3 linked regions of the Caenorhabditis elegans genome follow. The protein of the gene in region 3 interacts with the protein of the main gene of each other region in a pairwise test. Each region holds a gene or a part of one and is shown on either strand. Other genes may lie near its edges.

Region 1 (3,756 bases), on a different chromosome or scaffold from region 3:
TTTGTTAAGTATTTTTCTATGATTTTCTAGTTTACGGTTTATTGATATCTTTCAAATAAAGCGAGATATGACCTGCCAAAACCAAAGTGAGAAACATGATGCATCGACTGACTCAACGTCGGCAGCTCATATCTCGGCTGTCTTTAGTTGTATCAAAAAGTTGTCAACTAACAAATTACTTGTTACATTTTTTTATTATAATTCTGTAGTTAAACTTTTTTTTTGATATTTTGATATCTTTAAAATAAGCCGAGATATTAAAGGTGGTGTAGTCGAATTTGAGACTATGCTTAAAAATCTTCTTTATGCTCGTACAAGTCGATATGAATAAGCGAAACATCACAAAAATTTCGCTAACGGAAGTTATGAGCCTTCAAAGTGCCGAAAAAAATCTCTTCGTCCATCTAATTTGAATTTCGCGCGCAAATGAGCGCCCCTCGTGTGTACTCCTCTCGGACAATCACATAATTAATTTATTGCTTTTCGGCAATTTTAGGTGATTTTTCGTACTTTAATGAGCCTATTCTCGTTTTTTATTGGAAATTTATGTTTCGAGAGACAATAAATCGTATTTTGTCAAATATTTAACGTAATACAGTACAAAAAATGGAGTAATAACTGGATAATTCAATAAAATGCTAGTTTTGTCTATTTTTTGGTGTAATTGAGCAATCAATCGGTTCAAATTATATTCATAGACTTTCACTCTTTGTTATTTCCATTAAAACACAGAAAAAACTATGAAAAATCTTTCAAAAATACGAAAAATCGCCTAAAATTGCCATATTTGATTGTCCGAGAGGAGTACACACGAGGGGGCGCTCATTTGCGCGCGAAATTCAAATTGGATGGACGAAGAGATTTTTTTCGGCACTTTGAAGGCTCATAACTCGCTTTAGCGAAATTTTTGTGATGCTTCGCTTTTACATATAGACTTGTAAGAGCATAGAGAATGTTTTAAAGCACAGTCTCAAATTCGACTACACCACGTGGTCGCTGGCTGTCTCAAAATTGCTATTTTCTCGCGGACGAGAAAACGTGAAAAAAATGAGCGAAATGGCCTTGAAAACGGTGGAAGAGGAGGATTCCTCGTCCCCCCGGTCGCGTAGTCCTCTCGGAGAAGAAAATAGCGTGTAAAAGATGAGACGCAGACAACGAGACGGTCTCATTTCTTTTCTTCGCTCGTCCGAGTGAATTTCACCGACAATATTCTGAATGGGGCGCGTTTTCATCGAAATTATGCAAAGAGACAGCCAGCGAGCACGTGCTACACCACCTTTAATTGTCAACGTGAATGGGTGTAAAACATGGTGCATCGACCAAAAAATCATCATTAGGTTTACTCTCGGTTATTTTATGAGTTATTATAAAGCTGTCAACTGACAAAACATCGGTTACATCCTTTTCTATGACTTTGTAGTTAAGTTAATTTTTTGATATGTACAAAATTGAACAAGATACAAGCTATTAAAGTTATGTGACGCATGCTCAAAACTTACCGTTAAGCTTTAATGGCTCATATCTCGAATTTCTTTGGTTTTATCAAAAAATTGTCAACTGACAAAATATTGGTCAGCTTTTTTTCTATAACAATGTAGTTTTTCATTACTTTATATTATTAAAACTAACCGAGATACAAGCTTCCAAAGTTAAACAATTCTAAATCCTTTCTTTCAATAAGCTTTGTTTTATCTCAATAATCTAACAAAACTATCAATTTTTCCAAATTTTCAAATTTTCAGCCCCGATCAATACAAAAATGGTTCTTCTCCACCACCAACCCCTAGGATCCCACCACGCCACCACCAGTGGGGGTTCTCTACTGGAACGAGCCGACCTTTCGCACCCAATTCCAGAAAATGCGCGGAAACTTGCACAGCTGGTGGAGTATGATGAGAGCCGGGTGGAGTTAGGGGTGAGATTTTAGCTTTTGCTTTAAGTTAATTTTGTAAAATTAGAGTTCGAGTTTCAGACACATTCAGTATTCGTCCGAGAAGCCCGTCCACCTGGAGCACACTATTCCAAGGCTACAGTCATCTTTTTACATGGACAGAGCTTCTCATCATCTACGTGGACAGAGAATAATTTGTTGAGGTGAGGTTTTTCTTGATTTCTAGCTTAAAATTCAAGTTTTCAACTATTTGAGAACATTCGCGGCTCTCGGCTACCGTGCCATAGCCATCGACCTTCCCGGCTCGGGCCAAACTCGCGGAGCAGCTATCCCACAAGCTGAGAAACCGAATTTTTTGATGGATTTCATCGAAACGCTGGGTCTGAAGCAGGTGATGATTGTGTGTGCTTCGATGGCGGCACAATATGTTTTGCCACTGATGACTTCTACGAGACATGTGAGTTTTTATCAAAAATTGAGATTTTTGGTTTCGAGCATTTGTCTATGTCAAGTTCCATCAGTTATATCTTTAAAAAAGATATCTAAAAAATTTCAGAAAATGTTTTTCTGCAAATTCAAATTGCCTACCATAGTTTTTCATAAAGTTTTAACATCCAGCTAAAATTATTCTATGAAAATGTTGCTTCCCGCGCGTCAGAGTGCTCCATTTCGGTTTGATCTAAGTAGATCTACAAAAAATGCGGGAGAAGAGGCGCAGAGTTCTCTGCTGATTCGCATGGTTAAGAACGTGCTGACCTCACATTTTCTTGGGCAAAAAAATCCCGCATTTTTTGTAGATCAACCCGTAATAGAAAAGCCTGGCACCACAACCAAAATTATATTCTTCATAAAATTTGAAATTGCCGCCAAGAAATATTTTCTCATAAAACTTTGATTTTTAGTAAAAATTGTTCTGGAGAACATTTGAATTTCCAGCAAAATTCTATTTTTCCAGAAAATTTGAATTTTCCGCCAACCTAACAGTAATTTTGACAACTATAACTTCTCGATGAGCAATTGTCTATGTCGACTTCCGATTTATGATTTTCCTTAAAAAATTAATGTTTTTGAGCAGGGGTGTGCGGCAAATTTGCCGAATTTGCCGAATTAGCCGAGCACGGCAAATTTCAAAAAAGTAGATTTGCCGAATTTGCCGAGCTCGGCAAATTTCGAAATTTGCCGCACACGTCAAAAATTTAACAGTACAATTTTGGCTAAAATTATTGATTTTTTCGCCAAAAATTTAGTAAAATGACACAAAATTGAGTTATTTTTATGCTTATGCAGACATACTACACGGAACTTATTCAGAAACCAGATGTGTGTTAAGAATTCGGTAGTTTTGGTGTTCCAAAAAACATCAAGAATTATCAAAATTTTCCGAATTTGCCGAGCTCGACAAATTTGCCGAATTTGCCGTGCTCGGCAAATAATGAAAAAAGAGATTTCCCGAATTTGCCGAGCTCGGCAAATTTTGAGATTTGCCGCACACCCCTGTTTTTGAGTAATAATTTTATCATACTCCTATTAACTATTTACAACATCAAACATAGAACATTGAACACAATTTGACACCAAATATTGCTCGTTCAATTTAATTTCACTATTGTAGCTCTCATGTGTGGTCCTAGTCGCCCCATCAAACACCCACGAAGTCGTCAGCCCTTCTTCCTATACTGTGCCAACTTTAGTGGTTTGGGGTGAGTTTTTCTTTCTTTTTACTGTCAAACAAAAAAATCATTGTTAACCTTCAAATCTTTCCAGGCGAACGCGACACGTCTCTGGGCCCCACTGCAGCTGCAAATCTCAAGAACCTTCCACAAGTGAAGCTTCAGAAGATTCCAGACGCCGGACACGCGTGCTAT
Region 2 (3,756 bases), on a different chromosome or scaffold from region 3:
ATGAAGACGTGCCTCAATGTTACGATCAGATGATTTTCCAGATAATTCAGCCTGCATTAAAGTAATATACATCTCATTTCGACTATCTTCAATTGAAACTGCTGTTCTATCAGCTCTTCGTAGAATCGCCGCTGGACATCTACTGAACAAATGTGGGTGTCTTGCCTTGATTTGAGAAACATTTCCAGGAACTAATTGGGTACTTATCAATAGTTTTGTTTCCATATCGTTGCTTAAATTCTTCGGTATACGATTTGTAGCGTGATATGCTTTTAGAGATAATGGAAGTTCTGGTTCTCGATTCAGGAAAATTACACGTTCTTTTGCTTCGTGGCCAACACCAGCAAGAAAGATGCTTGACATTTCCATGATGTCCGAGGCGTACGCTGAAAGTAGCAGCAATAAATTTTTGTATTCCAACCAGGGTTGCGCGGCAATTACTAACCGGTAATTCTACAAAATCAGGCAGTGGGCATGTTCTTCCAATATTTTTCATTAAAATTTAGTGATATTGATAGGCGAAAATAAAAATAAAAAAACCAATTTTCGCCAAAAATTGGCGAAAATTACTGGGAGAACATGCTACACTAGCTCATTTTGTGATTTAAACTCACATTGCCTACAATAAAATGTCTTTGGTATAGTTGCTTCGTGATGTCCATGCTTTCTCATCGTAGCATTAGAAGATTCAATCGGTGATACATGAACAACTCGAGTTACCATCAAATACTTTTTCTGAATATCTTCTTTTGCAAAATCAGTGAACAGTGCTTTCAAATTTAAATCCGTGTGTTTTCCACTACCGCTGTTCCAGAGAAATGTATAACTATCTCTGAAAATAATGCAACTATTGTCTTTTTCAGAAAAATTGTGAGTTACGTGGTGAACATTTTCTTGTCCAGATCATATAGTGATATGCTTATTTCACAGGAATATTTACAATGGAGTTCGACAGATTTAATGGAGAGCAGCAATGAGAAACTATCGTTGATTGTAACATTTTCAGGTTTCTCCCGCTGAAAATTTGAAAAATATATTGCTTGTAAGAGAAAAAATAGTATACCATCAATGATCCGACCCTTCCTTTCGAAGAAATGTGTGCTTCATATGTTCTAAGAAGTGAAAGTGATTCAACGTCAAGCGGAACACCCTCTTCATTGCGAATCACTACATCTTGGCCAAGAATTGTATTTCCACGGTCTACCAGTTTTGAAACGCGCAATCGGAGTTTGCTCAACTCTTCAATTGGAATCCCACCTAAAAGCATAATTATTTTACTATATTCCTGATAAAGAAACAAAATTACCACTTTCGATTTTAGTTTTTATTATTAGTAGTTCATTAAAACTATCCATCAAGTCTTCGAATGATCCAATCCTTGTCGTTTCCACCATCAATTCTTTAATTTTGGTCCACCATTCATTAATAACTCTGGAAATTTCATCCACAACGAGATATCCGTCACTTGTCGATACGAACATGGACTTTTGAACGATTTGTACATAGGCAAGTGGAAAAATCCCACATTTTCCATTTTTCTCGTCAAATTTTCGACCATATCCCCACTCTCCGTGCTGCCCGTAAACACATATTCGATCGCCAATAAAAAGTTCTAATCGTGGAGCATCACAAGATGGAAGCGGATCCTCAAATGTGTATTGAACTGAAAAATAAGATATTTAAATAGTTGCGAAGTGAAAACAAACCGATTGCATAATAGAAACCCGTCGTTGCCATTACGAACTCATTTATCTGAAGATTTAAGCTTGAATTTTCAATTAAAACGGACAATTTAATTTAAAACTACGTTATATTAATTTAAAATATCAAATATAAATATACAAATCAAAACGGAGACAGTTTCTGTGAGAAACAAACGTAAATATCACGAGAACTGTTTATTTCTGATGAGTAACTGTTTATCCGAGAGGAGTCCACAAACCGTGGCCGAGGATTTATGCTTGTGGAACCTAGGCCATTGTTGCCGGGAGAATGAATTTGGAAGTCAATTGGCAGAATAACCGTATACGTTTTGGATTCCATTGAATTTTTAACAGTTTTAAATTTAATATTTTAATAGTTAATGTATAACAAAACCGATAAAATGCATGTTTTGTCATAAATATAATGTGAATATCTATATTTTATGGTAACTTCGTGTTATATTTTTAAATTTTTTTCTATAGAATCAGAAAAAAAATTCCAGAAAACCAATGGAAATTGATGATCTAGAATCTACATCAAATTCAGTGCATAAATCACCACCCAAAAAACGGAGACGTGTGAAGAAGAAGAAAAGAAATGAGGAAGATGAAGAGTGTAAATTGGTTTTTATAATAAAAATATTTTTTCTTCACTTTGATTTACAGACGAAGAGAACAAAAATATGGCCACTCAAATAAATCAAAAATTTGGTTCAAAGTATAAATCAAATAGAAAAGATGAGACTCCGATGTTTGAAGTGAGAAATGGAAAATCAGTTATCAAAAATTCGGGGAATCACGAAGCAACTGTCAATCGAACTTTGGATTTTCACATGACAAAGCTTTTTCAGGTACGATTAAAATGATAAATCTAATTTTTATTATTAATTTTCAGTGGGAAGAGCAGTCAGACGCCATTGAATCTTCCTATGTGTGTGCATTGTGCCACGAAAATGGAGAGAAACGAGAACTTTTTGGACCATATTATGCAACACATAATCCAATTAAATATTGGCCATCTTTCCTGGCTAAGAAACCTGTAACAACCCATCCCATTCTCTAAAATCTAAAAATTAATTAACTTTTCAGACTGCCAAAAAACCTACAAAAATCGAATTATGGTTCCATGGCTCATGTGTTTTATGGGCTCCAAATGTGCATCTTCACGGCAATCAGCTAACAAATCTGGATAATCAAATCGATATTTTCTGGTCTCAAACGTGCATAGTTTGCCGCAAAACTGGTGCCGCAATTTCTGTACAAAATAAGAAAAACACGTTCATTCATTACCCATGTGCCAAAAACAAAGGTACAGACATTCCAGACAAAATACCTCCCACTCTTATCAGTTTTTTACAGGCTATAAACTCGACGAGCACGCTCTCTTGTGCAATTCGTGAAAAATCGATTCTCATTTCTCATCAAACAAGTTTTGCTTTTCAATTATGTTTTTTTTTCATTTTTTACATTCTCATGTCCCATGTTTTACCAATTGCACACTGAAACAACGAAATAAAAGATTTCAGTTTTATAATACAAATTTAATTTTATTGAAACTCCACATTTTCGCAACACTTGAATAACGATTCTTGTTATTATTGGGATGCAGAAAATTTCCTCTTTTTGAAATCTAGGTGATGACGCTCCGCCCCCGAGTCACGGGTCTCGTCAGGAATTTGGCATAAATTTCAACCATCTTTTGTCTATTTTGTTATTTTTAGTTTTCTGAAAATTTCAAGTCTTAAATTTTGCCATAAAATCATTAAAAAGACGAGAAAGCTGAAAAAATTTGAAAACAATCGAATTTACGGATTTAACTCCAAATACCACGAGACCCATGGTTCGGGGGCGGAGCGTTTTCAATTAACCAAGGAGCGAGTTTTCACGTCGATTTCAAAAAGTCATTTTTCTGCTTCCCTATAATAGGCTAAAAATGTTGGCGAACATTTACCTATCAGATGCGCTCGCGCGTCAATGAAAAGTGAATAACAATTCAAACGCAATTTTTGAAATTTCACCCCGAAAAAGTGACACGTCATTGAATTTTTTCTAA
Region 3 (3,756 bases):
ATCTCAAAAGTGCATCTCAAGAAATTAGCTGTTTTTTAAAAACTAGGTCTTTTTGAGCGTTCAAAATCTCACAACAAACATGCATTTTCTCACTCTTCATGCTTATACCAACCTGGATCTTGGAGTTCTGCTCTCATTTGCAAGAACTGATAATGGAACATGCTCTTCACGAGGCCTGGCAGCTGCATCTTTGATTCGATGGCCAAGTTGTTGCTGTAGATTTTCGAGACATTGGGCTGTTTGTCGGTGGAAATCGAGTTGGGCTTCAATGAGGGCTCGTAGTTGAGATATTTGCTCGACCTGAAAAGAATTTTTTTGTGATTATATCTAAAAGGGGAAGTGGAAAAAAATTTCAGCAGATTAAAAAAAAATTAAACTTTGACAGCTTATATTGAAAGGAATTGTATAAAATACTGATTAAAAACATAGTATAGAACAGGATCAAAATTCGAACAATCCTCGTGGCCTATGATTTCGCTAGTTAAATTTTGAAGGTTTTTCGTTGATTTTTCTGACATAAAAATTCGAAATCTTAACGGATTTTTCCCGTTTTTCTTTTGTTATATTCGTAAGTTTGAGAATAATCCTTCTTAAAAATAAAACTAAGGGTAACCGATGTCAAATAGCAAGTCTAATAGGGGAAAATAGTAAAAACTTCCAAAAAAAAATCGTAAAACTCACATCATTACTAAGCACATTGAACATTGACATTTCAGCGAGTCGCTTTGATTCTTCCAGCTTCTCCTCCGCCTGAATCATCTCATCATCACGTCGTTGCTGACGCTTTTTGCAGTCGTAGTCAAGTCGACGTCCTTTCAGTTTTGTGCGGTGGTGCTGAATAATGAATTAATAATAAACCCTTTTTTACGCAAAAAAGCTTACATTCACATCTTTCAGCTCATTATTCTGCAAATGTGTTAATGGATCGAGAAAGTTTTGTTTAACATTATCCTCCATTTGATACTTGATATCAGCCATTTGTCGATACGTTTCTGCAGCATCGTTTAGGCTCTGGAATTGAAAAAAATTGTAATTTAAAATTATGATTAAGAAGATTTTGAAGCCGTGCAAAAAATTTTAATCTAAAAAATACCGAAGTAGTGGTTTTCTAATATCAACCTAATGTTTCAATTAAATTATTAATATAAACAAAATAAATAGTAATTTTATTTTTGCTGTATTTTGGTCACATTTTCAGAAATTGCTCACAGAACAAATATTGACAAATGTTGCTAAAAAATGGGTTTTTTTTCAGAAATTAAAATTCCAAAAGGGATGGCAAACCTTTCCCAAATCGCTGTTATCACCCAATTGTTGTCCATATTTCTGCATGACGTCAGCCAACATTCCTTCTGTTTGTGGATACGGTGACGTTTTTGTAGTTCCACGAACTTTTGACAGGGCAACTTGTGTGGCCATTTTTGCTCGAGTAGCTGGATTTGGTTGAAGATATTCATTTGTTCCGGCGACGAGATCCGTAATTAAATTATACGTTGTATCCACATTTTTCTCCATTTCATTGAACACATCGTCAAGTTTTGTTGGCTCTGCGGCGCCCATCGTCTCCGAAAGGTATTGATTCGCCTTGTTGAATTGCTTACGTAACCCCGACAACGACATTTTTCTGAAAATTTTGAGTTTTAGATTCGGAATAACATGTTAATTAATTGATAATTAAAACAACTGAAAATAAATATTCAAAAACCAGACTTATTTTCCTTTAGATTTAAAACACTTGGGAATCACGGTGAGCAAGATTTGAAAGTTTCGATAAAATGAGCTTCTTGAATTCTTGGAGTTTCGCCTGTGGATTTTTTATTTTAAATGAAAGAAAATACCACTTAAAGATCAGATAAAACTGTTGAAAAATTATAAATTCTAATGATTTTGTAATAATAAATTAAAAAGTGTAAAAATAATTTCCACCCTTGTTTCAGCAGTTGGAATACAGTTTTTTTTAATCAAAATATTTATCTTTATTGTATATTTTGGTCGGTTTTCTAGAAAAATTTCGATTATAAGCAAAATTTGGCACTTTTTTCGGATTTTTCATCAAATTTTGAAATTTAAAAACTATTTTTCATAGGTATAATCTGGTATTTTCTATCAATTAAAACAAAAAAATCCACAGACCCTCAGGCTGTATGTAAAACTTTGCATTAAACCTTAAAACTGAGAGAACTAAAGGTTGAACATTATAAATTCATGAAAGAAACTGTGCAGGAAATCTAAAATAAAACTGACATCAGGTAGATCGCTACAAACTTTTTCAAAAGTACAACTCGAATTTTCAGTTCGAAGATAAAATCCTCAAAAGTGCAGTTTTCTCGGAAAAAGCATTCCAAAAAGAAATGCTAATGTGAATGATCTTATGATCTAGGATTTATTCTGATGTACACTTTTATGGTTATAAAGCATGAGAATGAGAACTGAAGGAAGTTTTAAAAACTCTAAATTTCAAAGAAAACAAGTTCCCAGTAGAAAGGTAGAGCTTCAGAAAAGTTGCAAGAAGCAATTAAAGAAAAAGCCTGCTTCGGAGCAAGAGAGGTAGTTAACCATTAACTAGACCTACTTTCGTATTCCGGAAAAAGGCGGGGACACACACACACAACACAACGCCGGACTCTAGTAAAAGGAGAAGCACGGGAGAGAAAGATGGGGGAGGAGAAGCCGTTGTGCACGGAGAGCTCCACCCCCTCATCTTCTTCTTCGTCTTCTTCTCTTCAACACCGCCAACCCCACAGATGTATCGATTCAGTTATTTTCGTTTCGTTCCTCTGTGTCCTCCATCCTCTCTGCCTTTCATTTTTTTTCTCCGACCTCGGGCGCCCTCTTTCCGCGCGAAAAGAGAGAGAAAGATGAGGAAAAACTCACACAGACACACGAAACACACTACTCTCACACATAGTTCCAACCGAAGAGAGCACCCCGAAAAAATAGAAGACGTAGATTACGTAAAGCAAAGAAAACTGAGACGAAGAAGACGCCGTTAGTGGTGGTGGTGTTGTGGGGGAGGAGAAGGTTATTCTTTCTTTTATCTATGTGGCAGATAGAGGGAAAAAAGACGAATCGGTGTATATTTGCTTGTGCATGAAAGACTCTAGCCTACCCACTACTTAATGTTTGTGTGTGTGGATAGGCATAATGATTGGGCACACTCAAGGGTTGCTACTTGGAAAAATCTGGAAAACAATTGGAAAAGTTAAATTTTATCCCGACAGAGAGCATTTGTTGGATAATGATTAACGAAATTTCACTTTCCTAGCATAAAAAGAGTTTTAAAGCTAAATATAATTTAAATGCAGCTTTTTAAAGACGGGGTTGCTTAAAATGCTAGAAAATGGAGCATAATGGTCGAATTTTAAAAAAGTGTTTAAAAATTTATAAAATTATTCTAAATTTCAAGAAAAAAAACCAATGATTTTTCAATTTTGCAAAAAAATTTATGACATTTTCTCGTAAAGAAAACTTGATAACCCGAAAGAAAATCTTCAAAATTGGTCTAAAAATCGATAATTTTACATAAATTTATAATTTTTTATGGAAAACTGAAAACTTGAGAAATGTTTGTTCATTTTTTTTACATTATTGAATTTATTCGGTCCATTTTTATAATTTTAGGCAAAATTCTAACCCTTATGTCTACCAAGATTATGCTTTTCATGCTGTTTTTTATTTGTTCATGAAAAACTTGTTTACAACTGGGTAAAATGATTTTAAAAAATTAAAATTTGAAGATATAATCGATATACAAGT

The links.
Region 1: the proteins of unc-57 (region 3) and abhd-14 interact in a two-hybrid assay, tested with the Caenorhabditis elegans proteins (one large-scale study listed by BioGRID).
Region 2: the proteins of unc-57 (region 3) and ced-5 interact in a two-hybrid assay, tested with the Caenorhabditis elegans proteins (one large-scale study listed by BioGRID).

The regions. Positions count from the first base shown.
Region 1 is NC_003282.8:1,028,020-1,031,775, reverse strand, and holds the start of abhd-14 (AB hydrolase-1 domain-containing protein), read left to right. Parts: upstream 1-1,736; 5' UTR 1,737-1,759; coding exon 1,760-1,915; intron 1,916-1,972; coding exon 1,973-2,094; intron 2,095-2,146; coding exon 2,147-2,348; intron 2,349-3,503; coding exon 3,504-3,591; intron 3,592-3,655; coding exon 3,656-3,756.
Region 2 is NC_003282.8:10,482,106-10,485,861, reverse strand, and holds the start of ced-5 (Dedicator of cytokinesis protein 1), read right to left. Parts: upstream 1,753-3,756; 5' UTR 1,738-1,752; coding exon 1,707-1,737; intron 1,664-1,706; coding exon 1,307-1,663; intron 1,258-1,306; coding exon 1,064-1,257; intron 1,017-1,063; coding exon 880-1,016; intron 833-879; coding exon 615-832; intron 387-614; coding exon 1-386. Other genes in the region: F01D4.5 (PHD-type domain-containing protein), read left to right, coding at 2,214-2,319, 2,370-2,554, 2,599-2,742, 2,793-3,012, 3,053-3,069.
Region 3 is NC_003279.8:4,673,003-4,676,758, reverse strand, and holds the start of unc-57 (Endophilin-A homolog), read right to left. Parts: upstream 1,625-3,756; 5' UTR 1,621-1,624; coding exon 1,285-1,620; intron 1,012-1,284; coding exon 883-1,011; intron 835-882; coding exon 682-834; intron 301-681; coding exon 113-300; intron 1-112. UniProt on the Caenorhabditis elegans protein: Involved in synaptic vesicle (SV) recycling in neurons probably by regulating clathrin-mediated endocytosis. By controlling SV endocytosis, regulates the rate of excitatory postsynaptic currents (EPSCs) at neuromuscular junctions and thus locomotion.